2 linked regions of the Caenorhabditis elegans genome follow. The protein of the gene in region 2 interacts with the protein of the main gene of each other region in a pairwise test. Each region holds a gene or a part of one and is shown on either strand. Other genes may lie near its edges. The genes, in order: ZK829.7 and hxk-1.

What was found.
Region 1: the proteins of hxk-1 (region 2) and ZK829.7 interact in a two-hybrid assay, tested with the Caenorhabditis elegans proteins (2 studies listed by BioGRID).

What each region holds. Positions count from the first base shown.
Region 1 is NC_003282.8:11,952,555-11,968,908, forward strand, and holds ZK829.7 (Enoyl reductase (ER) domain-containing protein), read right to left. Parts: upstream 8,982-16,354; 5' UTR 8,979-8,981; coding exon 8,768-8,978; intron 8,702-8,767; coding exon 8,460-8,701; intron 8,406-8,459; coding exon 7,966-8,405; intron 7,916-7,965; coding exon 7,690-7,915; 3' UTR 7,351-7,689; downstream 1-7,350. Other genes in the region: gdh-1 (Glutamate dehydrogenase), read left to right, coding at 698-973, 1,021-1,425, 1,471-2,134, 2,395-2,660; tgt-1 (Queuine tRNA-ribosyltransferase catalytic subunit), read right to left, coding at 5,105-5,347, 5,949-6,791, 7,087-7,239; srj-1 (Serpentine Receptor, class J), read right to left, coding at 11,356-11,563, 11,609-11,874, 12,158-12,362, 12,469-12,635, 12,682-12,873.
Region 2 is NC_003279.8:9,265,168-9,282,504, forward strand, and holds hxk-1 (Phosphotransferase), read right to left. Parts: upstream 8,628-17,337; 5' UTR 8,614-8,627; coding exon 8,500-8,613; intron 8,402-8,499; coding exon 8,308-8,401; intron 8,260-8,307; coding exon 8,192-8,259; intron 8,147-8,191; coding exon 8,009-8,146; intron 7,961-8,008; coding exon 7,839-7,960; intron 7,763-7,838; coding exon 6,919-7,762; intron 6,847-6,918; coding exon 6,724-6,846; 3' UTR 6,313-6,723; downstream 1-6,312. Other genes in the region: F14B4.1 (EGF-like domain-containing protein), read right to left, coding at 922-1,115, 1,612-1,682, 1,769-1,934, 2,060-2,289, 2,455-2,566, 2,624-2,784, 2,853-3,129, 3,186-3,323 and 7 more; rpoa-2 (DNA-directed RNA polymerase I subunit RPA2 homolog), read right to left, coding at 16,142-16,438, 16,720-16,917, 16,969-17,077.

The sequences.
Region 1 (16,354 bases), on a different chromosome or scaffold from region 2:
AATTTAGCGAGACACTGTCTCGATTCTTTCTCAGATGACGTCGATTGACCCTGCTTCTTTTGTTTTGTTGCTATGCAGATCGTATGTCCTATGCAATAGCACCACACAATATGGGCGAAGATCAATGACACTCGTCCCACTCTTCTTTTTTCCTTCTTCAAATAGGCGGAGCATCTTTTCTCTATTTTTCCCCCGAATGTTGCCTCTATTTCTCTCTTTCTCTAAATATCTATTTGCCAGTCACCTCCTCCTCCTCCTCCATGAAACGCTATCTTTTGCTTGCAGTTTCATCGGTCTCGCCCACCGATGATGGTTGCGCGTTGTCCTGTAAACAGTTTTGTGTTGGGCTCCTCTAGTTTTGAATAGTTATGGCGCCCGCGTCCCCAGGACGAGCTTTTCGTGGCCTAGAAGCGTTTGCCTACTCGCGGGCGGTGCCACATTTTTTTTAGGAAAAAAGGTTTTGATGCCTCTGCCAATTTTTTTTGATTTAAATATTTTTAAACGAGCTATAACTTAAATAATTTCAAACTGCCGCTGAAAATTATTAAAGGCGCATGGATTTCGTGACGAGACCTCCTGGCATTTTCCTTACTTTTCGATTCCGCCCGGATCTTTTCCTCCTTTTTGCACTTTGGCTTCTTATGTAAAATCTCTTATTTGTTTAAATTTTAATTACAAAATATTTTATTTTCAGGTAATGTTGAGCACTCTTTCCAGAGGCGCCCGCTCGGTCGCTGTCCGAAGCTATTCGGCCGCTACTCTCGATGCCCACTCCCAGGTGCTCGACGAGCAGAAGCCAATGGAGGAGCAGGTCAACCCATCTTTCTACAAGATGGTCGACTTTTACTTCAACAAGGGAGCCGAGGTCATCGCTCCAAAACTCGCCGAGGAGCTCAAGTCCAACTCTTTGAGCCAAAAGGATAAGAAGAATCTCGTGTCCGGAATTCTTGGAGCTATCAAGCCAGTTAACAAGGTAAGAATTTTGAGTCTCATTAATTTATCATATTTTATTTTCTTCAGGTCCTTTACATCACCTTCCCAATCCGTCGTGACAATGGAGAGTTCGAGGTTATTGAGGCCTGGCGCGCACAGCATTCTGAGCACAGAACTCCAACCAAGGGAGGTATCCGTTATTCCCTCGATGTGTGCGAAGATGAGGTCAAAGCTTTGTCTGCTCTTATGACTTACAAGTGCGCTGTTGTCGATGTTCCATTCGGAGGAGCTAAGGGAGGAGTCAAGATTGATCCAAAGCAATACACTGATTATGAAATTGAGAAGATCACCCGCCGTATCGCTATCGAATTCGCAAAGAAGGGATTCCTCGGCCCCGGAGTTGATGTCCCAGCCCCAGATATGGGAACCGGAGAGCGTGAAATGGGATGGATCGCTGATACCTACGCCCAAACCATTGGACATTTGGACAGAGTGAGTATAAATTTTTTGTGAGCATGTGAATAATTTTGTTTGCAGGATGCTTCGGCTTGTATCACAGGAAAGCCAATTGTCAGTGGAGGAATTCACGGACGTGTTTCCGCCACCGGACGTGGAGTGTGGAAGGGACTCGAGGTGTTCACCAACGATGCTGATTACATGAAGATGGTCGGTCTTGACACCGGACTCGCTGGAAAGACTGCTATCATCCAAGGATTCGGAAACGTCGGACTTCACACCCACAGATACCTCCACCGTGCTGGATCAAAGGTCATCGGAATCCAGGAGTACGATTGCGCCGTCTACAACCCAGATGGTATTCATCCAAAGGAGCTCGAAGATTGGAAGGACGCCAATGGAACTATCAAGAACTTCCCAGGAGCCAAGAACTTCGACCCATTCACTGAGCTTATGTACGAGAAGTGCGATATCTTCGTTCCAGCTGCTTGCGAAAAGTCGATCCACAAGGAAAATGCTAGCCGCATTCAAGCTAAGATCATCGCCGAGGCTGCCAACGGACCAACTACCCCAGCTGCTGACAGAATTCTTCTTGCTCGTGGAGATTGCCTCATCATCCCAGACATGTACGTCAACTCTGGTGGAGTTACTGTTTCCTACTTCGAGTGGTTGAAGAATCTTAACCATGTTTCCTACGGACGTCTTACATTCAAATATGACGAGGAAGCCAACAAGATGCTTTTGGGTAAGTAAATTTTCGAAATTTGAATTCCTAGACTTGCGTAGAGTAACACAATGAAACGATTTGCAAGTTTTCATCTGTGATAAAATTTTGTTTAGAAACTAACAAGGGCTAGATACTCTTACGCTTGTCACACTTTTCCGTTTATTTTATGAGGAGGGAGAGGAGGCCACTCAACCGTTGTCGTGAAAATGAGTACGTATGCACTCTAGGAAACAAATTGTAAATCAATTCTTTCTGTTTAAAAATGTTTGAATTTTCAGCCTCGGTCCAAGAATCTCTCTCCAAGGCCGTCGGAAAGGATTGCCCAGTTGAACCAAATGCTGCTTTCGCTGCCAAGATCGCTGGAGCTTCCGAGAAAGACATCGTTCACTCTGGACTCGAGTACACAATGCAACGCTCCGGAGAAGCCATCATCCGCACCGCTCACAAGTACAACCTTGGACTTGATATCCGTACTGCTGCCTATGCCAACTCCATCGAGAAGGTCTACAACACCTACAGAACCGCTGGATTCACCTTCACATAAGTACCCACTTCTCACTCATCTCATGGCTCTTGTATCCTCTTTTATGACATCAAATGGCTCCAAGCCAGGTTTAAATAGCTTCGTGTAACCCTTTAGTGCCTTTTCCATAGTTTTCTGTTTCGAAACTATCTAGGTTAACTAAAGTCTAGCTCTGATCTTTTCTGCCTGGTTCGTTCTCACTTTAGTATAATTAAATATTTTATTGGTTCCCCACCCCTTTTCATCCCCACACATAATTTTTTCGTTGTTTGTTGGTTCGGGACGGTTTCGAGACGGAGACCATTCTTCAAAAAAAAATCTCAAAAATAATAAAAAGTTTATTTCCTTAAACACTTCTACATGGTCATTGCAATTTTCCAATGATCATTGGAAAAGAAATTTCAGGGAGCATTAAAAACTTTATCAGACTTGTGTCTTTCTATTTACTATAATTTAGAATTTTCGATAACATATCACTTTCACATTGTGTGCCACTATCAGCTTCAAATTTGGGAATCACCTCCACAATTGTTGCAAAATTTTCGAATTGTCTAAACGAAGTTGATGCTTGGCCGTTTCCATATCAGTTGATCTTTTCCGGCAAAACCTTCGTCGTCAAACTGATGCAATTCCTGGAGAGAATGAAAAGAAATGTTGAAAGATTAAATTGGGTGATCGTTTGAACGAAGCTAATCTGATTGGACAAAAAGAAGAAATGATAAAAGATGATAAAGACAGTTTGGAGGGAATCCCCCATTTCGGTTCGAAGTGTACGCAAATGTTTGAGGGAAATATTTAGAATTGGAGATTTTTTTGAATTTTTGCAGTTACAGAGAAATTTTGGAATGTGCATATCGTGTAGTTTCACAGATTTTAATAGCATACATTTTCAAGGCGCACGGATTTATTCAGACGGGTCTCGTCGCGCCGAAAAGTTTATGGTAGCCTTCTAAAAATTCAAAAAGACTACCATAAACTTACACTTTTATAATATTTTGGTCTGTGTTTGTTCCCATGAAGTTTCAGAAAAGGCGAACCAAAATAAATTATAAAATTTTAAATTTCAAAAGCTCAATAAAAATCCATATAAGCCTGGGTGGCCATCATCTTCATCATCATCTGACGATTTTTCGTTGCATTTTTCATCATCTTCTCACTGCCAAGTTCATTCAATTCCACACCGCTCGTTTCGTCGTCGACAGTCGACACTGCACCGCAACATAAAAAAGCGTTGGCTGATGGTCTGATCTTCTCTGCTTCTCTTCTCACTCTCGCTCTCTCATCCTCAACGATTAGAGACCCACGTGGGTGAGAGTCGCAGAGATATTTGCGGAAACCGATGTCATGGCGCGACGAAAAGAGAATCGTCTCGTTTTTTCTCGCTTTTGCACGTATAACAAGTCGAGGACAAAGAAAATGTGTTGGGTGGGGTGACATCTGAAGTCAGATGATGACCGGGAGATGATTGGGGGATTCCCCTTAAATCATAGGATCATGTTTTGGCTCGAGGTCAGCTATCAGGAGGGAGCTCAGGGCCACGTGGTATTTTTGTTATGAGGAAGTTCGTCCTCTATTAAAATACAATAGGTTAATATTAAGCTGGGGGTCAGCGATTAAGTCATTAATTCTGAAACCGAGATGCAAGAGCGCTCCAACGCCAAACGAAATCGCTCCGCCCCCAAACGTTGAGTCTCGTTAGGTATTTCGTCGACTTTATTATTATTGGCTTTTTCGTCGTGAGACCCATGGTGCCATACAAAATATTATATTCAAAAGTAACTTTTTGATTTCTGTTCCAGTTGTAATAATACCAGACATCTCTACGGAAACAAACAACGTGTGTTTCTTATAGTTTCCGTTGATTTTTAATTACTTTATTGTTACTGAAACCCATTACACCACCATGTTTAGTGTTTCAACGAAATTCAGAAGGACATCGCCGTGGGCATTCTCTTATTTATGTCTACCGCACGCCAATAGGTTCATTATTTGCCCTTTCTCCCCCTGTACAGTTGCAAATTGACTTTCACTTGGGCTCTCAGATACAAAATCATCAGTGAAACAAACACGTGGCGATATGATGAGGTAGTTGAGAAAAGAGTTCAAACAATCAATTGTGGTCGAGGAGGAGAGATAGGCGGCTCTGTGCTCGAGAGAGAAAACCATTAGAGAGCTCACTGAGTTTACACAAACTCGAAAAGCAGCACAAACGAAATAGCACGAAACGTTCTGTATGTGGTGGTGGTGTTGGCTGGGGGAGATTCTGTAGAAAAAGTTTCGAGTTTGAACTTTCGGTCCTAAAGGGAACCACGTGTCTAGAGATAAGAAGCCTGACATTGGAATTTTACGCGATCTGGAATAAAATTTATTATAATTGATTGATAAGATTTAAAAAAATGTATATGATTCAACAACAATTCAACAATGACGAATAAGATTAACAACAAAACAAAGAAAATCAAAAATCAAAAATCAAGCTTATATCCCATATGATCTACAGCATCTCTGACCCATTGAGGAACTTCCCTCATCTTCTCAGAATCTTGTTTCGATGGATTTTCAGATTGAATTGGTCCATAATAGTCATATAGGAATTGCTTCAGAAATTGCTCAACAGAATTCGATTGAATCGCTTGACGAACGTCTCGCATAAGATCCAGTTGATGTTTGATGTTGTGAACTGATACTAGATGACATCCTACCGTTTCCTGGAAAATTATTGAGATTTAATTAAATTTAGCTAAGAACATTCTCAAATTTGTTCAAAATGGATCTATTGAGACTTGAATTTTTTTTAAAATAAAATTCGACATCAAATAGTATTATTGAAATGTCCAAAACTTTGCAAAAAATCTGCAAAAGTCTAACTTTTGTAGGGTGCGTTTATGAAACTTTTTTAAACGTATTTTGTCAGGACTACGGTAGGCCCGATAATGACGGGATAACAGGTAAGTAACTATTGGAAATTGTGTTTAATTTTGCAAATGGAGACATATTTTTGTGATGCTTTTTTCTCTATTATGTGTAACAGAGAGAGATTTTTTATTGATTTTTATGGTATTTACTTTGACAAAAGTTTTTTTTTGGTTTCATGGTTTTGACAAAAAAAATTGTGTTCGAACGTTATTTTTATTTTTTATAATGTCGTTTCTAAAAAGTGGTCTGAATATTTTCAACGTTTTACGGCAAAATCTAATTACGTTTTCAGCTGTAAATCATTACAGTTTTGCAAATAAACGGAAACATGGAAAATTTTGAATTTTTTAAATCAGTAAGTTGAAAAATACATTATTTTGAAAAAAAGCTCACTTTTCCAACAATCGAATGAATATATGCTCTCGTATAGTTCTTGCATGTATTACATTCACATTTCTTATCAATCGGCAAAAAATCTTCCTTATATCGTTTCTGATTCAATTGCATCAATCCACCTCTTCTGACCATTGCTGTTCCAAATCTTGCAGTTCTTGTTGGATATACACAATCAAACATATCAGCTCCCAAAAATGAACAGATTACTAAATCAACTGGAAATCCAACTCCCATCACATAACGAGGAAGATGAGGGGGTAAAGCTGCACAGCATGCTGCCACAACTCTCCAGAAATGATCCTTTTCTTCTCCTCCAGATAATCCTCCAATTGCAATTCCAACTTTTGCTCGTTTCGCCATTTCTTTAGCACATTCTTTCCGCAATTCCAAATTAAGACCACCTTGTAGAATTGGAAACATCGCTTGATCATCTCTTGTATGAGCCACTTTACATCGATCAAGCCATCGAATACTTCTATGCATTGCTTCTTTTACAATATCACCAGTTGTCAATACATGAATTACATGATCCAACTGCATCATAATATCAGCACCAAGTGCTTGTTGAATTTCAATTGATTTTTCTGGTGGTAAAGCCATCATCTCTCCGGTATGAGGACTTTCAAAATTCACTCCATTTTCATCAACTGTCATGAGTTTGCTCAACGAGACCATTTGGAATCCTCCAGAATCAGTGAGAATTGAACGATTCCAGTTCATCATTTTATGTAATCCACCAGCAGCCTTAACTCGTTCATGACCGGGACGATGTCCAAGATGGTACGTGTTGCAAAGGAGAATTCGACAATCCATCGAGACTAGTTGTTCCGGTACGATTCCCTGTAAGTTTATTATATATGAAACTGCATAAACTCGAGAAAATATTTTTTTAATTTTTTTCAGGGAAAATCGAAAAATGAGAATCTGAAAAAAAATGTTCATAAATTTAACTTGCTGTAAACTTCATAAAATCTCTACTTTTCAAAAATTTGAAAAAATTTTCACTGAAAGTTAAAAAAAAAACTAACAGGTTTTATTTTTTGTATTATACTTTATTATGATCACAAACAAATTTCACATTTTTGAAAAAGTTTTTTTTTCAATTTAGAATTTTTATTCTTAATTTATTCCATACCTTCATAGTTCCCTGTGTTCCAACAGGCATAAAAACAGGCGTTTCGACGATGGAATGTGGCAAATGAAGATTTCCACGACGAGCGAATCCTGCTCTCGCCAGCACGTCGTACCTCATATCTGCCTGGCACGTCGGGAGCGGTTCCGGTGTCATTGGAGACTTCACTTCGTAAGTTTTTTTTTCGTTAAAATAGGAAATAATTATTTTTATTCCAAGTATAATTGGTTATGACCTTTAATGAAGTACTGTAACGGTAATTTGTTTTTTTATAATATTCATTGAATTCGTTTGTTTACATATTTTTTACAAACTAAGATTACCTAACTAAAAATTATTTTCGTTCTCATGTTAAAATTATTTGGAAGGATGCGGATCTAGAGCAAGAAACGGGAGAAAATGTGGATTTTATGTTACAGGGAATTTTTGAAAAGCAGATGGCAACACTATACTCAAAATACCGATGTCTGGGAAGTAATAGAGTAAATGCACAGGATGAAATAAGACTTTCTGACTATATAATTATGAGTGAAGGGAGTCGGGACAATGTATGAAATGGCAAAATGGGAAATACAATTATTACACCTTTGGAGGCTTATTGAGCAATTATTCGGAAGTGGCGGCAGGAATTGGAACACCGCCGCTCTGATCTGCATCTAATGCTGAAGAGGGATCGCAAACTTCGAGAATGGCACGACCTTCAACCTCCGACATCGACAATTGCTTCAACACTGCAGACGCTTGATCGACTGGATAAACTCTGTAGTCTGGAGCATCGATTTGGCCTCCGGCAATCAAATTTACAAGGTTTTTCAGTTGTTCGATACTTCCTCTGGAAATTTTGTAAATGAAATAAAGAAAGAAAAAAACTTCAAATAGTACCTCGTAACTCCCATAATGGCCAGTCTGTTTTTAGCAACGTGCTTGATTGGAAGTTGAACATCAAGACCGGAAAGACCTCCAACAAATAAGACACCACCTTCAGCGAGACACTTCAATGATCGAGTGACAGTTCTTGGAGATGTCACAAAATCGAAAACAACATTGACACCGGTACGAGCCACATCCTTAGTTCTCATAATCAGATATTCTTCAAATTCGGAATCATCCCAGTGTACTACAAAGTCAGCTCCGTTTCTTTCGGCCAGAGACAAACGTTCTTCTTTGGCATCAGCAACCATCAAACGGATCTTTTTATCATTGTTGATCGCTAGGAAATGCTTGGCGAGTTTAAGAAGCCAAAGTCCAAGTCCTCCTGCTCCCACGATAAGAATATTGCAGAATCCCTTTGATTGTGAAAACGCTTCGACTATCGGTCTGGCCTGGAAAAAATTGTTGATTAATACTGAAGAAAAAAACCGTGGAAAATGTCAAACCTGAAGAACAGCAGACAACGCCCAGGTAGCTCCAGCAGGCAAAATAGATGCTACATGCATTGAAAGAGTTTCTGGAATTTTCACAAGAAAATGGAGAGTTGGAACAGCAACATAGTCGGCATAACCATGACTGCACATCTCATCAGTTGGCCATACGATTACTTTATCTCCAATAGTCAGATCATAGTCACCAGGTGTGCATTCAGCGCCGAATGACTCAACAATTCCGGAAACTTCATATCCTGCAATAACGGATTTCGAAAATGTTATTTTCATTAGTTCAAGCCAAATTAATCTAAATTTCAAACCTGGAAACAAGCTGGTATCTTTGATTCCGTTGGTAATTCTTGCTTGCTTCGTGTTGGAAACTTCTCTATCAGTAAGGCAAACTCCTGCATAACAAACTTTAACGCGTGCTCCCTTTGGTGGGACATCTGGGATTGGCTCCTCGTCGAAAAACTTCACTTCCCGAAGATCCTTTGGAGATCCCAAAGAAATTCTTCGGTTTGTTGCTGGCATTTTCTGCAAGGAAAATTAAATTAAATAGGTTGAATAAACACTTCAATATCAATAAATTTGTTAACAAAGAATAAACCATCAAAGTGAGAGCATGGGTCACGTGTGTGTTTTTTGAAGAGACACAACTTTTTAGAGAAAAATCAATAGAATCAACATTGTAAACACTTGGAGAGAAATAAAATATTAGTGTTTTCAGTTTAAATGATAGAAAAATTGGTTCAATCACTTGAGACATTAAACTTTGTTGAGAAACAACGTGCCGAAAACAAAAAATCCGATTGAAAAACGGAAAGTGCGCCTAGTCACGATAACGGGGTCAAGAATGGCTTTGCGCACTTTGCGTGCCTTTTGGCGGAATTTTAAATACTAGTTTTTAATAAAGAAAACTTTTTTGCATTTTTCCGGCAAAATTACAGTTACGATTATTATGAAAGAATCTACTTGACTTACAATTAGAATTAGAGATTCAAATTAACTATTGATGTTTTGAAAGCTCTATCAACTTAGGCTTTTTGAGAATAAGCTTTTTAAGTAACCGGAACAACAACTAACTGACATAAACTTTGTGAAATGGAAAACGAAAATATTGCAGATGAAAAATAACAGTGGGAGAGTAACGAGACGCAGGACCCTACAGATGCCGAAGCATCTATTCGTCCCTCAATACATGTGCTTTTCACGTGCACACAAACGAATTTCATCATGACTTCTAGGGGAGAATGAGAGTAGAAAAAAATCTCGAATATTTTCCAAAAAATTGAAACATTTTTCAAAAAAAAAGTTCAAAAAAAATAATTTGAAATATCTCCAAAAAAATCCAATATTTTGCAAAAAAATAATTTGAAATTTTTCCATAAAAAAGTTCGATAATAAAATAGTTTGAGTACATCGAAAATGAGGAAACATCAATTTGTGGTTCGACGTTGTGAACATTTGAAATCAATAGATCATACACATTTTAAATAACTTCATAAACGTTTTTTTCCAAATCTATAAATGAATTAATCAACGTTTAGATACATTGGTTTTATCTTTTTGGAATCCCAATATCTTCAATGCAGAATTTCTGTGATCTGATAATGAACAAGTGATAACAACTGGATCAATTGCAGGATAAACGCTTAGTATAGGCACAATATATGTTGACAGTATTATGAAAGTATTTAAAAATTTCAAGAACTTATGAATCTATAACCTACACTCCATAATTATCACCGGCAAGTGGGAGGAACCATACAACAAATAAAGGGATGATTGTACTTATTAATGGAATTATAGTTTGCGCAATTAAAGATTTGAGAAGACTTGAATGTAATCTTTTCGTAGTACATGATAATGTGCATGCTTTCAGTGACAAGTGAATTTTTCGTGCAAAGAAAACATAGATGATCATAATAGAATTGGTGATAACTGCGGCTACAAGCATTCCCAGAATTCCACTTTTTGACCAGTCATTCACGGGGTACTGTAATTGTTTTTGAAGGGAACACTCATATGATATGATGAGCAAATATCATAGTACAGTCAGTCAACATTTTGAAGTTTTTTTTTAACTTTCCGTCATAAAGTGGTAATTACTCAGTTTTCACTTATTATGATTTAAAAAATTGATCAAGATACATTTTGCGTTGTATGACTTATTATTTGAAATTATTAATATATTCAAACATTATGCGAGGGCCAGCTTGCAACAATGTCTGATATTAATAAAAATGGCCAAACTTTTTGAAAATTCGCCAAATTACCAAAACGTTAACTGAAAACTTTAAAAAAAAACTAGAGCAAATTAAAATCGATATTTGGTCTTTTTTATATATTCTGAGTATACTTTCGTAGTATCCTATCTTACTATACTGTACCTTTATATTAAATGTCTTTCAACTTACAATTCTCACCTCATAATTTGCAACAATCATTGCCAAATCTCTACTATTTGTGTTATGAATTTCTTTGAACTTTTCATCAATTAGATCATATATGTGATCATCAGGCCACATAATTATGTGACCGATGAGCAGCCAAGAACTTCCAAAACACATTACAAATAGGGAATTGAGGAAAATAGTTTTTGGGCGGAAAAATTGGGCTATGGCAAGCGGTCTGGAAAATTTAGTTAAACAAATTAAATTACAGACATGCTTATAATGTCTCAAACCTAAGATTAAGAGAAGACAGTATCAGTAAGAAATTACCTGCAGACTGCTAGATATCGATATAAAAAATGAACAGCAAGCAGTGCAAAAGTGTAAATTGAGTAAATTGAGTAATTGAGTAAAATTGAGTAAATTAGGAATTAAGCTGCAAGTTGTTAAAGGATGTACATAGTATTCTCTGAACACCAATTTTTTGTTGGGAACTCATTGAACAGAAGGAAACATTAATTTGGGGTAATATAATTATTGTTTAGAGAGGGAATTACAGTGAATATATTGGAATATGGCTGTTTAGATGTACTGATTTCTTCTCGTTGGAACCCCAATGTCTTCAATGCAGAATTTCTGTAATCTGATAATGAACAAGTGATAACAACTGGATCAATTGCGGGGTACACGCTGAGTAGTGGCATAAAGTATGTTGACAGCATTCTGAAAATATTTAAAATTTTAAGAACTTATGAATCTATAACCTACACTCCATAATTATCACCACCAAGTGGAAGAAACCATATGACAAAGCAAGGAATAATTGTACTTATCAATGGAATTATAGTTTGAGCAATTAAAGATTTGAGAAGACTTGAATGTAATCTTTTCACTGCTCCAGAAAATGTGCATGCTTTCAGTGACAGGTGAATTTTTTGAGCAAAGAAAACATAGGAGATCATAATAGAAGTGGTGATTAATGTGGCTATGAGCATTCCCAGAATTCCACTTTTTGACCAGTCATACACGGGGTACTGTAATTAAAATTGGTTTTTATAGCATTAAAAGTGGAGTATCTTCAGTGGCGAAAAGCTTTTTTTTTAGAATAACTGGTCCTAAAATGGCGATCACTCAGTTTTGAAAATTAGGCAATTGACAAAAATTTGGGCAATTTGATAATTCTTAAAATAATTTGAGGTGTTTAATAATTAAATTTAGCCATCTTGATCTACAATTGGTGTATTCCCACAAAATCACCACTTACGATACTCTAACTTTATTGTTAGGTTATATAATTAATATTCTTACAATTCTCACCTCATAATTTGCAACAATCATTGCCAAATCTCTACTGCTTGTGTTATGGAATTGTATGAACTTTTCATCGATTAGATCATATATGTGATCATCAGGCCACATAGTTATGTGACCGATGAGCATCCAAGAACTTCCAAAACACATTACAAATAGGGAATTGAGGAAAATAGTTTTTGGGCGGAAAAAATGGGCAATGGCAAGCGGTCTGGAACGTTTAATAAAATCAATTAAATTACAGAAATGCTAATAAAAGTCTCAAAGCTAAGAATAAGAGTATCAGTCTGAAATAAAGAGTATCAGTAAGATATTACCTGCAGACTGCAAGATATCGATATAAAAAATGAACAGCAAGCAGTGCAAATGTGTACGCACACATTCCACATCGAATTGAAATAAGGTTCTGAGCAAGTAGCGGATATTCAAATAAAAGACCATGTGGTACAAATATAATCAAACAATTATTAAATCCTTCGATTGCCTATATAAAGATGAGGTTTAGTGTAAAGTCGGTAAAACTAACATACCGTTGAAACTACTGCTTCAGTAACTGAAGTTATCAAATTGAAAACTCCAAAAGTCATTAGAAGATACCGATATCCACCAATGTACCGAGGAGATTTAAACTTTAAAAGAACTAAAAACAAGATATTGAAAATAAACGAAAGTACACAAAAAATTCTCGGAGACCAAGTATGGAACCAGCTCATGTATATCATTTTCAGGATAATAATCTCTGAAAGCAATTTATCTGAAAAAAGGTTGCAATGGGATGTGTTTTGTGAATGACTTGACAGCTGTGATGTTGATTAGTGGTTATTTATAGGCTACAAAGTTCATAGATTCATGTAAAGTGTTGTGACAGAATTAAATTACATAGGAATAGGTTTCTAGGCCACAATTATACATTTGATATACGGGTATTGATGTTAAGATTTTTCGAAAATTGCATTCCACGTCACTTTCCTTTTTCTTTATAATACGTCTGAAAAAATAGTTTTATAAATCCAGGAGCCATTGTATAAATAAATTACCTCAAATGTCAAGAATTCATCCTTCTTACTTCTCTTCTTTGACCTCTTCTTTGATGCTTGACGTGGCTTTACAATTTCCTTAGATTTTGGGATTATTGGCATCATCACAGTTTCGTGAGACGGGGTTTCAAAGAATGGGCGGTACACCAACTTCCAGAACTCTTCCAAATCTTCAGACTCTTTTTCAGGTAGATGTTGCTGAATTTATCTCATTATTCGAATAAAAAAAATTTGAAGAAACTTACATGTGCAAAATTCCTTTGTTCTTCACTCATTTCCTTTTCAATTCGATTCCACGAACGTAGATGAAGTTGGCGATGCCAGAGGATACTTGAATTGAATTGTTTCTGAAATTTTTTGTTGAATTTCTAATTTCAATAAAAAAAACTTACTTCCTTCTCAAACTTTTCAAAGTGATGCCACATCTTCAGGTATGAATAATAAGCGAAACCAAATGGAGATACAATTACGAAGAAAAGTATGAAAAACTGGATTAACTGAAATGCAAATTTTTTTCCTAACACTAACATTTCCGGGTCTTACATCGTAGAAATAGTAATATTCAAGATCATTTTCAGGACTCGGAAAGGGTCTGAAGAATGCAGATACGGCGAATATAATCGAAAAAGCTGGTGCAGTTGTCCATCTCCATTTCCAGATGGGCCACGTGTAAGCTCGACTCCATTGGTCATTGGATGGCTGTCCCATAAGTTCATGAATATCTCCATAGATTGTGTCTAAACCATATAATTCGAGGACAATAAATAGTTCTGCAGTTATGAATATTCCGGTTGCAACTGTTTGAATATCTTGAATCATTGTCAGGTACAATGGCCCACTCTTTAATACGCAGGTTTAGAGAAAGGGTATTACAAAATGTAAGAAAAACCTCAAAACATAGAAAGAGCCCAGAAGTTGCAATAACCATTGAGACAAAAATACATAGGCAGTCGAAAAAATAGGTTTTCATTTTAATATTGAAAATATCTGCAATTGTAACCGTTATTGTCTTCATTATAACTGAAAATAAAAAAATTATTTTAATTCAAAATGAGCCGATGTAAACTAACGAGCACAAGATTTCCAGCCAACAACAACAAGTGTAGAATAGTACAAGAATACCCATAACCATGAATTTGCAGCAACTTGTCGGAGGAGCACAGGAAATGTTGAATGAGTCAGTAGAAGTCCTTAAAAACTATATGTTTAAGCAATGACCTTTCATGCAGCTAAGATTGCAAAATACCATTTGGAAGAACTGTTAAATCGTAAACCGATTTCCGACCGAGGATAAATCTGGTGTATCCGAGAATTGAATAAACGGTTGCACTGATAATTATACTTAATCCCGTGTCCAAAATTACTGCAAGTGTGGCGACCTGAAATTCATGTTGTAGTAGAGAAAGAGGCTATTGCCTGAGAATTTCAATTTTCTAAAAGAGGAACCAATCATTAAAAATTGGGGTTCTAAACATGTGAAATGTAAATCGAATTTTTAGGAATTTCGGCAATTTCAGCACGTGAAATAAGAAAATTTTTTAAACCGGCAATTTCTGAAATCGCCGATTGCCGAAAATTTTCGATTGTCGCTCACACCTGGGTAGTAGGTCTCTTTTCAGGCTGTCAGGTATTTTATCTTATTGAATACGACTTATAAGTTGGATGATTCGATAGGATTAATTTCCTGTATTAGTAGATTATTATGATTCAAAACATCTCTGGATTAATTGAACTTTTTGAAATTAAAAAATTAACTCACTCGAAATGTATTCTTTTCCGGAGGTGCAAATGACGCCATTACAGTGTGACCTCCAATTCCGATGCTCAGAGATTGAACGACCAAATTCAGTGCATCTATCCAGATCTTACTGTATAACAACTCTGCCCATTCGATTCTCAACATTTCCTGAACTCCCTCAATTGCTCCATCCAAATGTAGAGAACGTACAAGAAGAAAGTGACATATGAGAAATGCGAAGACAGTGGGAATCTGAAATAATAAAAAGATCAGAGAAGCTTCTTTAATATACTCATGTACATAAATGAGAGGCGTAGTTCTAGTGTTCACTCGATTTTGAACAAAGGAAATTGTCAGCCAAATGATAAAAATAGAGTATGCAATTCCATAGTTGAAATTAGTGAATGACATGTGGGAAACGCCAATTCTGTGGATTACATTTCTGAATAAATATTTATTATAGTATTGTAAATATTGTATTTATTACGATTGAAATCGTGATCAAAAATACATATATTATGTTACTTGGATCCGTTGAAAATCAGTACCTTAAATATTGAATTTCTGCAGATTCAACTGCTTCCATCTTGATCTTTGTTTCATTCACACATTTATTTTGAAATACAATATGCCCAGCTTTAAGATTTGGGCATTTTTCGTAAAAAAAACTGATAACAATCTGAAATTTAATGATTTGTGAGATCATCAAATTATTAATCACTTTCTGTATTCCACCAATTACCACACGTTGACCATGGCATGTCTTGTGATCGATATCTGGCTAGAGATAATAAAAATTTGAATGCACGTGCCACTGAGTACTGATAAGGATACAGGATAGTCACAGCGGATACTAATGCCATGAAACCAAAACCTTGAAGAATCGGAGCACATCTTCTGATAAAAATCCACGGGGAGCATCTATGAAATTGTCCTATTATCAATTCGAGGTATAAAACCGGGTAGCCGAGCATAATAAGGATAAGTCCGTAGGCGAGAATGAAGGCTCCACCACGGTACTCGTGAACTTTGGCAAGAAATATCAGAAAATTGCTTAATCCAATGCACAGATTCACGACAGAAAACAGTAGGTCATACTGCAATTTCAGAAATTTTAATGGAACTTTAGTTATAGGTAAGAAAAAAAGAAGTAAAATACCTACCCAGCTTTTGAATTCGGGACGCGGTAGGGCATCTTTACGAACTTCTTTTTTCGGTTTCATCTTGTTTGACTTTTTTTCGTTCGAAAAATATTTTAAAGTTCAGAATTTTTGTGAAAACGGGGAGCCAGCATTTTCACGCTTGAATTATATTTTAAGTTCACGGATTATATTTATCATATTTTTTAAATTTTTTGAAAATATTTTTTACTATCTAATTATTACATATTTAAAAATATGCTCAAAAAATTTCCGTGCCTGCTTTTGG
Region 2 (17,337 bases):
AATTTGAGCACAAGAGAGAACTTCGAATTACCAATTTTTTGAAACTATTTGGAAAAAAATTGACCAACTTTCCAAAATGTAGGCCATCATTCAAATTTTGCAAAATTAAAAAGATGGATTAAACGTGAAAAACTTTCCTACCACTCTCTCTCTCTCTCTATTTTGGGGATGAATTCGATCATTTTCATTTCTTATTTTTATAACGTGAGGAGAATTTAATTTTTAAGATATTTCGAGATTTCTACTTTTTTCTAATCCTATTGAAAATCGCACCAGGGGTGTGCGGCAAATTTGCCAAAATTGCCGAGCTCGGCAAATTTTGAACTAAAAAATTTGGCAGTGCAATTTTGACAACAACTATTGGTCTACAAAAGTTTTGTAAAATGGCACAAAATTGAGTTATAGTAATGGTTAATCAAAATTTTGAGATTTGCCGCACACCCCTGGACCGCACTATTCGAAAATTTTAACCTCACTACCAGCTGGGCAGGCCGGAGGCCTGCGATGCTATTGTATTTCACTCAAACTCAAAAATCAGGGATTAGGGCCGCCTTCTTACTCTTAGAAACTTTAAATCATTTCGGAAAATCGGCAAATTGCCGGTTTGCCAATTTGCCGGAAATTGTCATTTTACCAGAAAAAAAAAACCAACTTAATCTACTGCGAAGCCTAGCGCGCTTGACGCGCTAGTCTACACTTGAAATAAAATTTGAAATTTGAAAATCATCATGTCTTTGTAAGCTTCTTGATGCAAATTGGAGATTGTATTTTCAAATCTTATATGAAAAAAATAGTATTTATTATAAATACGTAGGCATAAATAATAAGTACTTTGTGGTAATCTCCGAAAAATAAATGAGACCTGAGAATCGGAAATAACAATTAAAATTTCACAAAAGTAAAAATCGAAGAATCCGAAATTCAATTCCTTATTGAATGTTTTCCTTTTGTCGTATTCAGAACAAATTGTCCCTTTTCTGTTGTTTTTTGGTATTCACAATATATTTCATCAGAAGAATCAGAACAATCGGTGACTTTATCACAGAGACCACCTGGTGGAAGGCATTTATGATTGTCGTGGCATTGGAATTGACCAGGAAGACAGATTCTAGGTGCTGAAAGAAGTACTTTGACTGAATTTTCAAAAAAAAAACCAAAGAGATTTAGCTCTTGCAATCGCTACTATCGTCGACATTTCGAGTGACGTCACTTTTTTATTTACCGCAATTTCAGGAGATCAGATATAGAGGTAACGCTCAGACTACACGTGTAATTGTATTCAATAAAGTTTCGGAAAAATTTGTGAAGAAACATTCTCTCCGCTACTCACCGAGTCTCACCGCGGCGACTACAGTAACCACTAAAAATGTTTTCAATTTTCACATATGTTCGAGTTTTTTTTAAATCGATTTTGTTAATTTTCATCACTTTTCCTTTTTTTCATCACTTTTTTTTTTTTAATAGTTTTTGTTTTTTTTTTTAATTTTTCTGAATATTATCAATTGAAAACTAGAAAACCACAGTTGAACCAGAAAATACGTATGAAATTTTCAATACTTTTGATTTTTTGTATTTGGTTTTTTATGTATTTGATTTTTTTTTTAAACCTACGGCATTTTTCTTCATCTGCTTGATTGGAACATTGAGCAAGACCATCGCAAAGATATATCTTTGATATGCATCTGAAAAATGTGAATACTTTAAATTCAATTTTGACATTATTATTTTTTTTTAATTTAAACTGATTTTGAATATGAAATTAACCTACTTTGGATCAGCTCCACCGCATTCGATTTGTGATTCACTACAGTTCGAGCTACATTTCTTTCCATCGTTGAGAAGGTCAAACCCTTCTCCACAAGCACATGTTGCCGCGCCGTTCTCCCCTAACAAACACAACTGGTCACACCCTCGTGTCTCACATGTCGACGTCTCTGCAATAAGAAAATTTCGTGGCCGCGTGGCCTAATGGATAAGGCACCAGACTTCGAATCTGGGGATTGCAGGTTCGAGTCCTGCCGTGGTCGAAATCTTTTGCTTTTTGTACCAAGACGCTTACCTTCGGGTTGCAGGGATTTGTGGAAGACTTTAAGGGAATATGGGAGAAGAGCGGTTTGTGCCAAAACTGTGATATTTTCTCCGTTGTGCTTATTTGCTCTTAAAATTCCACGGTATGTCCAATCGGTCCAGTATAGGTAATCATCAGCTATTGCTAATCCAAAGACGTGTGGAACTGATCCTGCGTCAGCAATTATTACTCTCCTTCCAGTTCCATCCATGTTAGCAGATCTGTAGAAGTACATCAGTCAGGAATACCTAGGAATGAGCCCCAGAGAGTCCAACAGATCACGTTTGCACAGTTAAAAAAGAGCTTTTGTTTTTACATGAAGGTCATGTTTTTCGGTTATATTATTTTGATTGCATCTTATAGAGATATTAAATAATAAGACTTACTCAATAGTATCCAAAAATGCATCAGCCCAATAGATTTTCTCGGCAAAAATATCAACTGCAACGGCATTTGGCCATGTGATTCGTTCGGTTATAATTTTTCGGAAATGAGAACCTAAAGTTTTACTATAGTATTTTGGAAACTGGTCAACGCCTAGCTCTAACTACTTACCATCCATTGAAGCAGCAGCAATGAATGCATTTGCAGACCAATCAGTGACAAACATAATTCCTTTAGCTGGATGTAGAGTGATTGATCTCGGAAGCGTCATAACATTCTTATACAGGGGTTGACGGAATCGGCCATCGAGACTTTGAACGAGTATGTCTTCTCTACAAGTAGTAATGTTGGTATTTTTATAGTTAAAAGAAGTTGGGGTATTACTTATTTGGAAACTAACCTTCTCAAACTGTACAAATTCCTTCCAATCCAATCAACTGCAATACCTTCTAATCCGTCAACATCAAATCTTTGTACTGCCTGTGGGAATGTTCCTTCGATATTCATTCTTTCAATTACATTTGCTCCAATATCTGCATAATACAGTCGGTTCTCTTTCACATCAATATCAATCATTGCAGTCTTTTGTAATCCGGCACGTTGTAATTGGAATGATTTTCCATCAGTTGAAATGTTCCATACACTTTGACCATGTGCAAAGAATAGCCACATTGGAGCTGAAACGTGTTTTATTACTTACATTAAGACTAAACTGGATAAAGTTGAATCTTACATTGATCAATTCTTTCGCAAGTTTTATTGTCAGTTGCCAATTTATACGTTCGTGGATCACAAGTACATTCAAATGTTCCAGGAAGATTAACACACTTTTGAGAGCATGCAGAGGATAAAGATTCACATTCGTCGACATCTGTAATTTGCAAATTTTGAAAACATCAAAAATATAATATTGCAATTTCACTAACCTAGACACTTCTTCCTGGCTGCTTCATAATAATAACCGGGTAATCTACATTTGCAATTTCCTTGTGTGTCGCATTCCTCCAGAGGTTGAGCTGAGAGTTTTTATTTTTGAACCTTTGAGAATGTATACTAGAAATGCCTACCTTTTGGTCGTGACTTTATTGCATTGGTGTTCAATTCGCATCTAGATTCCGAATTCCGTTTAGCTAACATTGATAAAAAGGAGATTTCTATTTTCTCCGCATCTCGACACGATGTCTCCTCCCGTTCAATCAAGCAGTCGACGTACGCTTGGATTACTGTACATTCGTAGTTTTGTGTTGGGTTAGACACTGAAAAATGGATTTTTGAGCACTTTCATGCTAGATTTGAGCAAAAGTAAGTGGGCTGAGCCGGGGATCGATCCCGGGACCTCTCGCACCCTAAGCGAGAATCATACCACTAGACCACTCAGCCACGTTCGCACGCTCGCCCCTCTGTCGTATTTCCATTTTACTTACCAGTGTCTGGCGTCTCGTCCCTCAAAGTGTTGGTTTTGTTCACAAAGCACTCCTTTACGTTCTTGTCGCTGCAAGAAGTAGCCGAATAGTTTATGTATGAAAGAGAGACACAGAGCAATGCTTACTTTTCAACCTCCAAAAGGCATGCCTGCTCCTCCTTCATGATTGCTGCAAACTTCGGCTCACAAATCGTTTCATACATGAATTCAATATTTGGCGCCCGGGATTGTCTGAAAGTTTTGGTATCAACTAATTGCAAAATATGGATTTTAAGCTGAATTACGGTCACCGGTTTCGACGAGACCGAAATTTTTTCAAGAAAAATATAATAGTGTGCGCCTTTAAAGAATACGGTAGTTCCCCACGCCCGGTTCTTTGGAAAATTCTTTAAAATTTTTCTTTTCATCGCCGTTGCTCTTAAAATCTCAAATTGGACGAAAAAGCAATTTCAAGCTTCAACAGATTATAATTGCACAGATTATTCTCACAAACACAGCTTGCGATGAGCAATGTATTCTCCGAGAGGATTACACGAAGTACTTGTTTTGATGTCTTGCGTGTATTGCCCACTTGCTCTTTGTATCGTTTGCAAATATGTTCACCTTTTTCAAATCAACTTTACTACACACATGTAACAGTTTTATGCGTGTGTATATGTGTTTGTAAATGTTATTATTCATTGCGAAACGGAAGCGTGAGCCACTTGACAACTCACGAATGACTACCGATCGAAAATCGAAAAGTTTAACTCTTCAATAGATCTTTTGACTGTGCTCCTAAAGTCAAATTTTCTTCCGTACTCAACCAAAAGTCAAACCCTCCAAAAAACAGCCTGCGATATATTTGTTCTTGTTCTAGAATCTAGATGAAAGTTGAAACGTCGAATATTATGTAAGATTGCGGTTTCGTGGCTCATCACCAAATTATTAATACATCCCCATTATTTACCTGCAATCTGGTCGAACACCCTGTGTGCACATCATATACTGATTGTACTTGGCACAAGTCTCTACAACATCACTAAGTGGTGGATGAAGTACATTATTGGTCAGATCGGCAGCATAGTCAACAAGTGGTCCAATGCAGTGAAGTGCTGCTGCTTCTTCAATAAGATCACACGGTGATGCATCTGGCTTTAGAATCGGAATGGATGGTGGTGGTGGAGCTGATGTTGTTGGTAGTGTTGATGGTGTTGAGGATAGGAGGACAAATACTGGATCTGAATGAATGAATGAAATTTCAGAGTCTTGATTTTAAGGATCATACCTTCATTTCGATGAGGAAGTATTAGGGGTGTTGCATGATTTACTTCGCTATCTGAAAAAAGAATTACTGTATTTCTACTATTAGTATTGCGCCCGCCTGTTCTACTTTGAAAAGTTATAGCAGGAACAACGACAACTGAGATTTAAACTGTTAAAGTTGAATAATATTGGCAATACTAATAGAAGAAGTACGGTATTTCGTTTAAAATTATTTTAAATAGAGGAACAGCTACTGTATCAACCTCTAAAAAATGAATCTGAATATTGAAATATCAGTTGACTTTGTATTCTTCTAGAGCACACTAAAGGGGTTTTTTTGCCAAAAAATCGAAAGTGACCAGGAGCAATGTTCAGATCAATTTTGCTTTTTGGCTTATTTTTCGCCAGGGTAAGTTCAAGAAGCAAATATATGTGGACTCAAAGACAGAAATTCTAGAATACGAAATTGAACGTCGCGAGCAAAATTTCATTCATTTACAGTATAATGTAACCTAGTAACCGTTGAATGTGGCACAAATTCTGACAGTATACCAATTCTCAAACGGAAAACTGAAACTTACAAATAAAAACTGGAAAAGAGAATAAGAGTAGCAAGAGTAATTTCATGACAACTCACAATATTCAAGTGAGATTATAAGGTATTCTTCAAACTTAGAGAGATGGAGTCAGTTAGACGCAGAGAATAACATTGAGGGGTGGAACTTCTTCTACCGGTTGTCGTGTGCAAATACTCCCAAAATTATTCTTCCAACGTAAATGAATGCGGGTGCATATTTGATCAGAGGGACTAACTCACTCCACGGGTCAATTAACATGGCAAGGTAGATAGAGAGTATGATGATTTTATAGACACAGACAGTCAATAGAAGATCTCCAAAAAGAGAGATGACAAAAAAGTAACAGGTACAGGGAAAAACAATGTGCCATTATAGGTGACTGATGTTTGGCAGCCGACATTTTATGGGGGATCCACGCGTGGAATATGACGATCAGACGGTCAGAGATGTGTGCTACATTTGGCATTTGGACATATATCTAGAACCCTGCTGAATTTTTATCAATTTTTTGTTGCATTCTAACATTGTAAGCGTACGCCAAGTGTCATCCGTTCTTTTTTGAAAATTCGATCACCTTTGTTTTTTTTGAGTAATTGAACATATAACATTAAAATACATTAAACGTATTTTATACACAAATTTTCGGTAAAGGATGATCACTGATAAGTAATATATATAAAAATTCCAATCACTATTTCAGAAAATGAATAACTTAAGATATATAAATCAATTGGCAATCCATTGTGGATTTTGTTATTTCTATTTGGTTGTAGAAGGGAGGTTAGTGGTTTATACGTTTGATGAAGAAAGGAGTTAGTAAGGGAGGATGCATGGGTGCTCTAAATTGGTACAGTTATGCCTAGAAATTGGAGAATGTTTTAAAAAATAAGAAAAAAGTATATCCCGTATTCGAATCTATTGGAAGTTTGTTTCAAGTGTGGGCGGGGCCTAGGTGAGGGATAAAGCTCGATGAAATGGGTGAAAGTGACAGAAAGCGAATTTTAAACAGATGAGAATCGACGAGACTACTGATTGGACGATGACGATGAAAGAGAAGCGGCAAGCTTTTCCTCTTTCAGTCGAGTGGCAACAGCAGCAACGAGAGCAGCTCCACGTCCAGATCCATCTTCAGAGAGCATCAATTTATACTGTAAATTAATCATTTTAGAATTCAAAATGTGAATGATTTGTGATAAAATTCATGAGTCTTCAATTTTTACCTCAATGTCTCCAACAATCAATTCTCCAATTTTGGCATCAAGAAGTGTTGGATAAGTTGGATGGAAACGATATACAGATCCATCAACTCCGACAGTCACATGTTTCTTGTTCATTCGATTGAGCAACATAGCGATTCCAGCGGCTGTCAGATGGGCAGCACGAGTTGAAATCAAACTACACACGTACGCCACATTGGCACAATCATTCGCAGTGATCATCTCAACACCAATATCCTCGAGAATTTGATAAGTCTTTTGGAATGTTCGATCATCATCCTCAAGAAGATCACTATCAATTTCCGATACAAACTTTGTTGGAAAGCAATGAGGAACCGAAATAGCATCCGAGTTTCCACCGAACAGCAATCCTTGCTTTGCCAAATCTTCGAGAACAACTCGGGCACACTCTCCCATATACATTCCGGAGATCATCTTCTCATAGAGATGTTGTCCTGGGTTGATGCTCTCACGATCCACAACTTCATCCCATTCGGTGCGAAGGAAATCGAGTGCTCCATCGTCCCCAAATGCTCCCCATTCAGTGTTGATGATCATCTCCTCCGGTGTCACACCGTGTTCATCAACGTATCCAGCCAACTTCGGGATACGATCCAAACGTTCCATGTAGCATGCATTGGTACCTGTTCCCACAATGACTCCGATTTGACAAGAGTTTTCTTGGAATGCACAAGCCATCAGTGTTCCCACTGTGTCGTTGAGCAGTGCCACTACGTCAATATCAATATCCTTTCTTCTATGGCACGCTTCGTGAAGCAAAGTGACAACATCAACACCCTCTACTCCGGATGCTTTGAATCCTTTCGTCCAGGTGACCAATTTTCCTCTGAAAGAATTATTAAATTTGAACTGGCGCTAAAATAATAGTTTTTCAGTAAAAAATGTAAGCTAGATTCCCCTACTTTGTCAATCCTTCCTGTTCACATGGAAACGAGAAAGTGAATCCGAGCGGCAACTTCTGGGCATCCTTTAAATCGTTCTCACCCATAAACTTGGCCATACAACCTGCGATATGATCGAAGAGCTGAAAAAAAAACGTTTTGACTGAGAGAAAGACAAAACAAAAACTTACAGCTTCACCGGTTCCTCGCATGATACTTTCAGGAACACGGAAGATTTTTCCAGTCATTTTTGTCTCTTTTCCTTGTAGTTTGATGTGTAGAACACGGAAATTGGTACCACCAAGATCAAGTGCAAGAAAATCGCCACTCTGAAATGGAAATTTCCAAAATCTAACAAATTATGTATTTTTTACCTCAGTTCCGTTCGGGACAGAATCAACATAGGTTGGAAGCATTTTAACAGCGACTTTCTTCGTAGAAGCTGAAAAATTTCAATTTTAAAGGCAACCATACACTCATAACAGCTTACTAGCAAGACCCTGCTCCATGCTTTTCTCCATCGATTGCATGATTCGTCGAAGCTGCTGATCGCTCAGAACAAGACGTTGGCATGCTTCCTGGATCTGTAAATTTATATATTATTTCAATCACATATTTTTTTTGAATATTATTTAAACTACAATTATTTCTCTTAATTAATCATTTTATATAGCAACCGCACCAAGTCTTTGGGTCTGGAAAGGACAAGTGGTGGTGGACGTTGCTTTTTGATGACCGCATCTGTGGCGATTCCGTTTTGTGAGTCGAGTATTGGGTGGCATACGATAGATGACATATTTTAGATAATTTCTAAAAGTATTTTAACGATGAATCAAGAAACACGAAGAAGGAAGAAGAAAAACTTGTAACGATGAGAAAAATTCAAGCGACAAAAGTGGCAATGAAAAGCTTATTTTATACTTTTTTCGACAAAAAGAACATGATGTTATCTTTTTTGCTTTATTCAGCAAAAAATAGAAAAATAGAAAGACAGTAAAAACGTCTACAAATGTGAGAGAATGATTGATGAAAAGAAAAGTTACAATAAAAAGGAACCGGCTACCGTACTCATCTGATGAAGTCGTGGTGGGACCCAAAGGGCTTTATGTCCACATTTCCTTTAAGAAATTCTTATGTAGGCATACTTTTTGTATGAATCTACAGAAATTTTCCGATTTTCTTTCGAATATAAGAATTATTGGTTTAAACTCTGTGCGCCTTGCGAAGAAAATGGCAAAATTTCTCTAATTTTCTCCGCCTCGTCTTGATTGTTCTCAGTCTACAGTAAACGTGATTAAATCAGCGTAGCTCTATCAAATATTTGCACATGTTCATTTTTTTCGTGTACATAAAAATTGAGGTCTTTCACTAGTATTATATCATCAGTAGCAGAGAACAATCAGCCGGTCACTGATGGGACGGGAAGAGGAGGAGAAGGAGGAGAATATAAGAATGTCTCGGGGGTCGCCATCTGATAACAATGCAGAAACGAAGAAGAACAAAGGCGGCTCCTCTTTTATAAGAAAAATTCAGTACCGGTCTCTTTCTTACTTAATTGAATTTTCTTGCATCCTCGAACCACAGTGTGGTCTGATTTATGAAAGCATCCGAGAAATTTCAGTGAGGAATTATGGGGGAAAACATAATAATAATCATAAAAACACCGAACATCAGATCAGCAATAACATCGTGTGGAAGTAAGTGCAGCAGCATCATCAAAGCAGACAGAGAAAAAGTGGGCGGAGTCCGGCTAAGAATCGAGAGATCAACACGTGGCGAAAAGAGCGGGCGATCAGAGAAAGTGGGGGAGAACAATATGTAGATCAAAATTAAATATTATAGGTCTGAAGACGTACAAAACGTGACTTTTCTTTTCTCCAGGAGATTGCAATTTTTTCAATTTCAAATTTCCACGGGACAGAACATTTTGCAAATGAAAACAAACTTTTTAGCAGTTGATCCACAACTTTCTGAACCTCGTAGTTAAAGGCTCACATATTGGTAGTATGGTTCTCGCCGCGAGGAAAAATTATACGGTAGCACTTTCTTTATTAATCAGGATAGGTTTAGCAGATGTCTTCGTTACTAACAAATGTTCTATTTTAATTGTCATTTTCAAAAAGATAAGTTAAATTTTCGAAAAAAAATCCGTGCAAAATTTTTGAAAATTGAGAAAATTGAGTGATTACGGTATTCGTATTTAAAAACAAAATTATACAAAATGTAGACTAAAATAATCAGACACCAAAAAGAAACTATAAGCAAACATTTTTCCATATTGTGTCCGTTTCTTAAGAACCCTTCAACTTCATCTATACAAATATGATGATTTGTCTTATCACGTCATCATATATATCTTCTTATACATTAATGAACCACGAGAGACGCAGACAAAGAGACAGTAAAAACGTGACTGTAAAGGGAAACGGAATGACGTGCATCATCTATATATGTGTCTATGTTGTAGTGCTTTGATGTCTGACGAACTGTATGACTCTCCCCCGGACAACACCCCTTGCTTCATCATAAAAACAAGTTGGCTGAATTAAAACAAGAAATCTACACTTATTTGGAAGATTGCGACGAAAATACAAAGAACAAAATATACTTGCGAATTAGGGATCTGTCAGCTTCTTCTTCTACTTATTCTTCTCTCAATTTGTCAATATTTGACATATATCACACGGGACGACAGTGTCTCGGAGCAAAAATCACTGCTGAACCGAGCGCGAAAAATTGTTTATGGGATCGATTACTTTGTGCCAGGCGGTGCAGAGGTTCACTTTGGAGAAAATTTGAAATTTGAGATTTTGGAGAATGATGTTGGGGAAAAAGTAGAACTTCCGGGGACATGATTGCTTTTTTGGAGGCGTGACGGGGGACCTTATACCCGCTTTTCATTATGGTGATCATACGAGAGGATGCTTAATGTTTTTCACAATTTTAGATCTTACTTTTTCGGTAAGAAAAAGGAACGTGAAGACCCCAAAGAAGTGCCTAATCTGGAAATTCCAAAGTGTTATCCATTTTTCCAGTCGCATCCCCGACTTCGCGTATATTTCAAAGGACGACGAAGAGCACACCAGGAAACAAGGAGGAAAAAGCGAGAGACGAGACAGGCGAGAGGCGCCCCCGGAACGCCGAATAATTTCGACGCTTAGATTTGGTTACGGTATGTAAGAATCCCCTTTAGCGTTCAAATAATGGAACTGTCTTAAATCTAGGACAAAGAGGAGCCAATAAATTTTACAAATCAAATGTAGGTTTTTTGTTGGAACTATTCAAACGCTAATTTACAAAGAACAAGTTCTCACATCAATCACTGATAAGTTGGCAATGTGCCAAAATGAGTCTTTGTCTGTAAATTGAAACAAAGAAAACTTGACAGACATGAATCTATGGACATTTTGGATGAAAAATTGATAAGACAATATGTGCATCTTGTTTTCTTAAGATAACACATTTTCAGAGAAATTCTTGATATTCACGGAGAGAAAAGTGGTATGATCATATAAGCGTTCAGTTGATCATTCGAGAGCATCCATAATTATGAATTCATTTAATTTTTCTCAATTTTCTTCTTGTTGCAAAATCAGCACAAAACACAATAAACACTCACAGAACACTCAATTTACGATTGGAAAACGTATCGAGTTGCAGTTTTTCGTATAAACATTATATTCTCCAGATATGAGTGGAATCAGAAATAACTCATTTCAAATTGAAGAGAAGTTGATGTTGATGATTACTTTGATGATTTAAAACATCACATTACGGGCACAATTATAGGACACTACAAAGTATTTTGTGTTTAGAATTGGAACATAAATGTGATGTGACTTAGAGGCAATAAAAATAAATCGGAAGAACAAAATAAAATAATTTTTCAACAGACTACACCAAGTACTTAATTATGTGGACTTGATTTCACAAGATTTGAATGTTGGAACAGTTTTTGGCAATGTAATTTTAGAGTTTCAATTGTTCACCATTATAAATTGATTTCCGAAATTATTCAAGACGCACAGTTCAAATTCAAAAATAAATCGTTGGCGAAGTTCTGAGCCACTTAGGAAAGCGGACATGTGAGGATTAAATCTTGTCGGACTGATTCCGGATCGACTAGTCGGAAACAAAGTTCTAAGGGAATTTAGATACTTTTGAATGTAGTGTATGCCACTGGAGGAGCAGAAGCTTTGAAAATCGAAATTTATCCAAAGAATTACTTGTTCAAATTTAAACGGAAATGAATGTTTAGATGGAAATTTTGCAAAAAAAAGGAACACATGCAACAGTGTGTGGATGTTCAACAAACAAAGATGGGAAAAATAAAAAAGAAAAAGTATAGCAAAAATGAATTGTCTGTGTTCTTTGGTTAGCTCTATTGTTATCTTATCAGATCGAAAAGTATTAAAGAAAAAAGTTTCTGGAACATTTTTACAAGGCTGTGTGGCAACAATAAATCTGCTTTAAAAACAGGAAAGTTAGGTAACAAAAATGAAATTCCGGCCAGAAAAATAATTTTGGAAGGAACAGGAAGGAATTTATTGACAATAGGCTATAAACATTATATTCTCCAGATATGAGTGGAATCAGAAATAACTCATTTCAAATTAAATATCAACAGGCAATAGGGTAATAATCATGATTCAATCAGAAGCTTTCACTGTTTTTCTAGATATACCCATTGTTATGGAAAACAACAGTAAAGTTTTCTTGCCTTTATAACGCATTTCTTTTTTTTTAACAAGGGAAGTGATGTGGGAAAATGTGGCTTCAAAGTTAGACAAATTACAAACAACAACTATATTTGCACAAGTGGAAAGACAAAGAGATCGCCCCCACTAAACGAATGTTCAAGAACAATATTTTTCAACGGGAGAATTGAAAACGACGGAATTTGGAAGGAAAATATGAACTGACATTTTTGTCAAAATTCCAAAAAAGGCAAAAACCAGTTTGGATTTTGTGCTAATATTCTAATGATTCTAATGAACAGAAATAGCCAAGTAGATTGAAAAAATATTTTTCAAAATTTCAAGAACAATTTGGCAGATATCCAAATTTTTGGAGAATTTGGAGAACTTTTGCATAAGCAAAGCTCTTATTCAGACCTACAAAAATTTTCTTTCAATCAGCATGAAAACTCCTGGAAAATAAAATTTTTTGTCGACTTTCAAAATTATTAACGAAAAAAATCAGTAATTGCCATTATCTGCCAAAATAATTGAATTTTTTTTTGAAAAGTATAACTAATTCATTTGATCATTTTAGTCCCACAGCAGCTAAAAAATTTCACTACAATTAAAAACAACAGGAATAGATGTAGCTTAAAATTTTGCCAACTAGTCCATATCTAAAATAAGAAGTATTTCCAAATTAATTCATTTTTATATTTCAGACATTTGCAATTTATTAATTTCTATTTAAAATTTAAGGTTTCGTCTCAAAAGTAGCTTTAAAAAGTTAGCTGAAAGTACGGTTGTCTTTTTTTGGAAAAAAAAACGATCAAAATTAAAAAAAAAAGGCGCACCATTTGATTATTGGAAACATCAATTGAATTTTGAATGCTCATCGATTTGAGCATCTCAAATCGTGGTCGTACTTTACTACATTTTCCCGTTGCTGCCATACTATTATCTCCACTTGATGACAATACTTCAATTACTTCTTCTCTCTTCTGCTCTTTTTTGTTAAGTTTTCTTCTGAAAAGCAAGCAATTTGGAATAATTATAACGGAATAAAGCAACGAGAATAACGAATGAGATGAGTCACAGAGTGAAATTTTCGGATTTAGTTCTTTGAAGGAAAGTCAAGGAAAAAGGTTATGAAAATCTGCTAAATATAAAATTTTTAGTACCTTCGACAGCATGATCCATCCTCACAAAATCTCGCAAACATATTAAAAATGAAATTGTTCATTTCAAATTAATTAAGAAATAAATTTCTTTGTTAAACTTTGAAATAAAATAAAAAGTTTTAAATAAAGTCGTGAATTTCAATCAGGATTTCATAAAATTTGAACTTTCATTGCTGTGTGGATCTTCTGCCGATTCTCGGATAATCCCCTAAAGACAATGCTTTTTCTAGAGCTACCACTGAACCGCAGGCGCGGCGACATGATGCATCGAGTAAAATTAGAAATTAATTTATTAAGATGACTCTAAGGTGCCTCAAAATTTAGGTTGCATACTGGCAAAGGGGGATGAAAACTTCCCAAAACTGAGTATGAAAAAAAAAAGAATAAGGGGAAGGTGATCATTTGAAGAGCCAGTGAGAGCTTCGAATAACATGAGGAAGATTTAAGGAATGTGTGCGCAAGTTTTTACAAAAAAAGTAGAGCTCAAACAGTTTGAAAGAACAGCAGTTTTATGGGGTTTTGGAATTTGTGCGTAATATTATGATTTTCAAAAACTGTGAACGAATGATGCAAAGTGTTAAGAAGGAAAAGGGGACCCAGAGGGGCGACGTATGACGTCATGACAAAATGGGGAAAAGCATTGCGAAATGTGATGTGCGCAGATGGGCACATCAAAATTTTAGGACCTTGTTTTTGGCACGTTCTCTATCAAAGTAGTTTACGTTAAAACAGTTCATAAAACAATTAGTATTCTTTGGATTCAAAATTTGCTTTAATTGGTTGAAGCTAAGAATAACAAAAAAAAACCGTCGAGAATGGAGAGTTTTATTATGAATTTCTACTATAAAAAAGAAATGTATAACTTATTTCCACTGTGAAATTTTATTTAAATTTTTCTCGATATTACTTTGTAGTTTTCTGAGTATTATCGTTTATTCGTGAGAAAATTTAAAGGTGCACACATCTTTTTCTTGGGTCTCGTCGCGATCAAATTCTACGCCCGAACGGTTATGGGTCAAAAAGCTCGTTGTGAGACTCTATGGAAACAATTCCTGTAACTTCTTCAATAAGAATTTAGCTGAAGATCCTAACGAAAAATGATCGTCTGAAATTTCTCAGAAGCCAAAAAATATGGAGAACGATTTTTTGAAAAATGAAAAAAATTATAAAAGCAAATATATAAACGATATTGAATCGTGGGAACAGTTTTTTTTTGCTGGAATATAAAGTATTGGTATTGATTTTGAATGAATATATTAACCGAGGTTATTGAAGATCACTCAGACGCGAACTTTTTCTCCAGAAGTACGGTACCCGGTCTCGACCCGAAATATTTTTGTTGAATTCAAAAATGTGCGTGCATTTCGAATTTAACAAAATTATGTCGTGGTGAGACCTTGGCGCGAAAAGCGCAACATTTCGCGTCTTTGTAATATATTCTGACGAAAATTGAGCAAGTGAAGGGAAGAATGACGAAATTCGTATTCCAAAGAATTTGCATCATACAATTGGGCTCCGAGATATTCAGAAGAATGATGCAAATCTTTGGGAACACTATTCGAAAATCTGGAAATCTATTTTCTATAAACTTTCTGAAGTTTCTATACTAAATTAGAGAAAAATTAAGTTGTTTCAAAGTTTAAAAAACTGCTGATTTTTGTCTTTCTCCGTGGCAACAGCCTGCAAAAAAGAGGTTTATGGCTTCTCGTCTCGAATTACACGTTTTTCGCTTTTCCATCGCCGTTTTGTTCTCAAAAAAATGCTGACATGATTTTTACACATCAAAAACGTGCCGTTCCACGTTTCTGCCGCAAAATAAAAACAGAAAAAAAGCTCTCGATGCTCCTTGAACATGCCACGTCATAACCTAGGAAGTTTTCACCCACGAAAAAAAAATGAAAAAGAAAGGCACAGAGGTATGGGGGAGCGCGGGGAAAATGGGAACATGGCCGCCAGGGGCTTATTGGAGCAGAAAGAGCACAGAGCAAGAGCAAAGAGAGAGTGGAAAAAGAGGCAGTGCGCGGAAAAACGGAAATTTAGCAAAAAAAATCAAAGAAGTGTGTGGAGAGAGGGGAAGGTTGCAGAGTGCTTAATGTGATTTACTTAAACATATAAAATGTATAACAACAACTTTATGGAATATTGAGGAACAAAAACTCAAACAAAAAACAAAACAAAAAGTGAACAATAGAAACAGAATAAATTGGATGAGGGTAAACAAAAAAGTAACAAAAATTGCTAAAATCGGCTAAAAATCAAAAATTTCAGAAAAGGTTCAACAATAAAACAACTTGCAAAGAGAAAATAACAAAAAATAGACAAAAACCGTGAGATTGTTGTAGGATAGGGGACGGAGAATATTAAAGTGTAGTGTAAAAGAAATTTTTTAAAAATCAAAGTTTAGAGAACTGCATGAAGTTTTCAGTATTTCTATTATGAAGGAAATGTTGAAAAAATAATGAAATTAACTTCCAGTTACTTTGGATGGATGTTCGATGCCCAACTTGATTTTCACATTCATTGCAGCTAACTCGGCAGTCAAATAACGGAAGACACGAGGAACTTGAAGCAGGAAAACTTGATCATCTTTATCACACGTACGACATCGTTGAGTTTCCGTGTAGTCCAATGGTTCGTCGTCTTTCCTTTTCTTTTTCAATAAATGTGATCCTGCACGACTGGACATCAACACGGACAATAGGGATCCACAACGACGACAAGCGTATGCTACGTCACGATCCGAACAGTTGAGAAGACGGTCCTGGAAATTAAAATATCAGTACAATGAAGTTAGTGTTGTCGCTTTTTCGATTTTTTTGAGTATTGAAAAATCGAAAACTACTAGTTTTCCAATTTTGTTCAAAACTTCGATTTTTCAAAAAAAAAACAGATGTAAACTTTGACCAATTTTCTTCTTTTAAGATTAACTTTTTTTTTAGTTTTCTGAACATTTTTTTCCGATTTTTCAGTTTTTTTCCCTGAAAAAAACAGAAAAATCTAAAAAATTTTCGGTGTTATTTTTAAACATAGAAATAAAAGTACCTGCAACACGAAAGATGTTCCATGTGCAATAATAGCATCTCTTTCCATTTCTCCAAATCGAATACCTCCTCCCTTTTTTCTTCCTTTTACTGGTTGATGAGTAATTGGATCAATTGGTCCAGTGGCTCTCACTTGGAATTTATCAGCAATCATATGACGAAGTCTTTGATAATAAACAATTCCAAAGAAGATTTGCATCTGTAATTATGAAAAATGTTAATTTTTCAAACGATAAATTCTAATATAAACCTCCATTTGACGTCCATCAACTCCCGAATAAAATGTTTCGTTACCGTAGTAATTATAACCTGCTTTTGTGAGTAATTCTCCAAAATGGTTGATTGCTGTGTTGTCTTCACTGAAAAATCAAAACATTGTTAAATGGAAAAAGAATCGAAAAAACGTAACTGTAACTGTTAAAAACTTTTCTAATTTTTTTAAATTTTTCTATTTTGCAAAAAAATAATTATTTTCGAATTTCCGCGAAACTGAAGGTACTGGTTAAATTGATCAGTTTTTATTTTTAATATATAATTTTAAACACTGTTAGTCTATTTTTCAGGACATTCTCCGTAAAGAAAACTTCGTCGAATCTGAAAAACAGTTGGCCCAAAAATC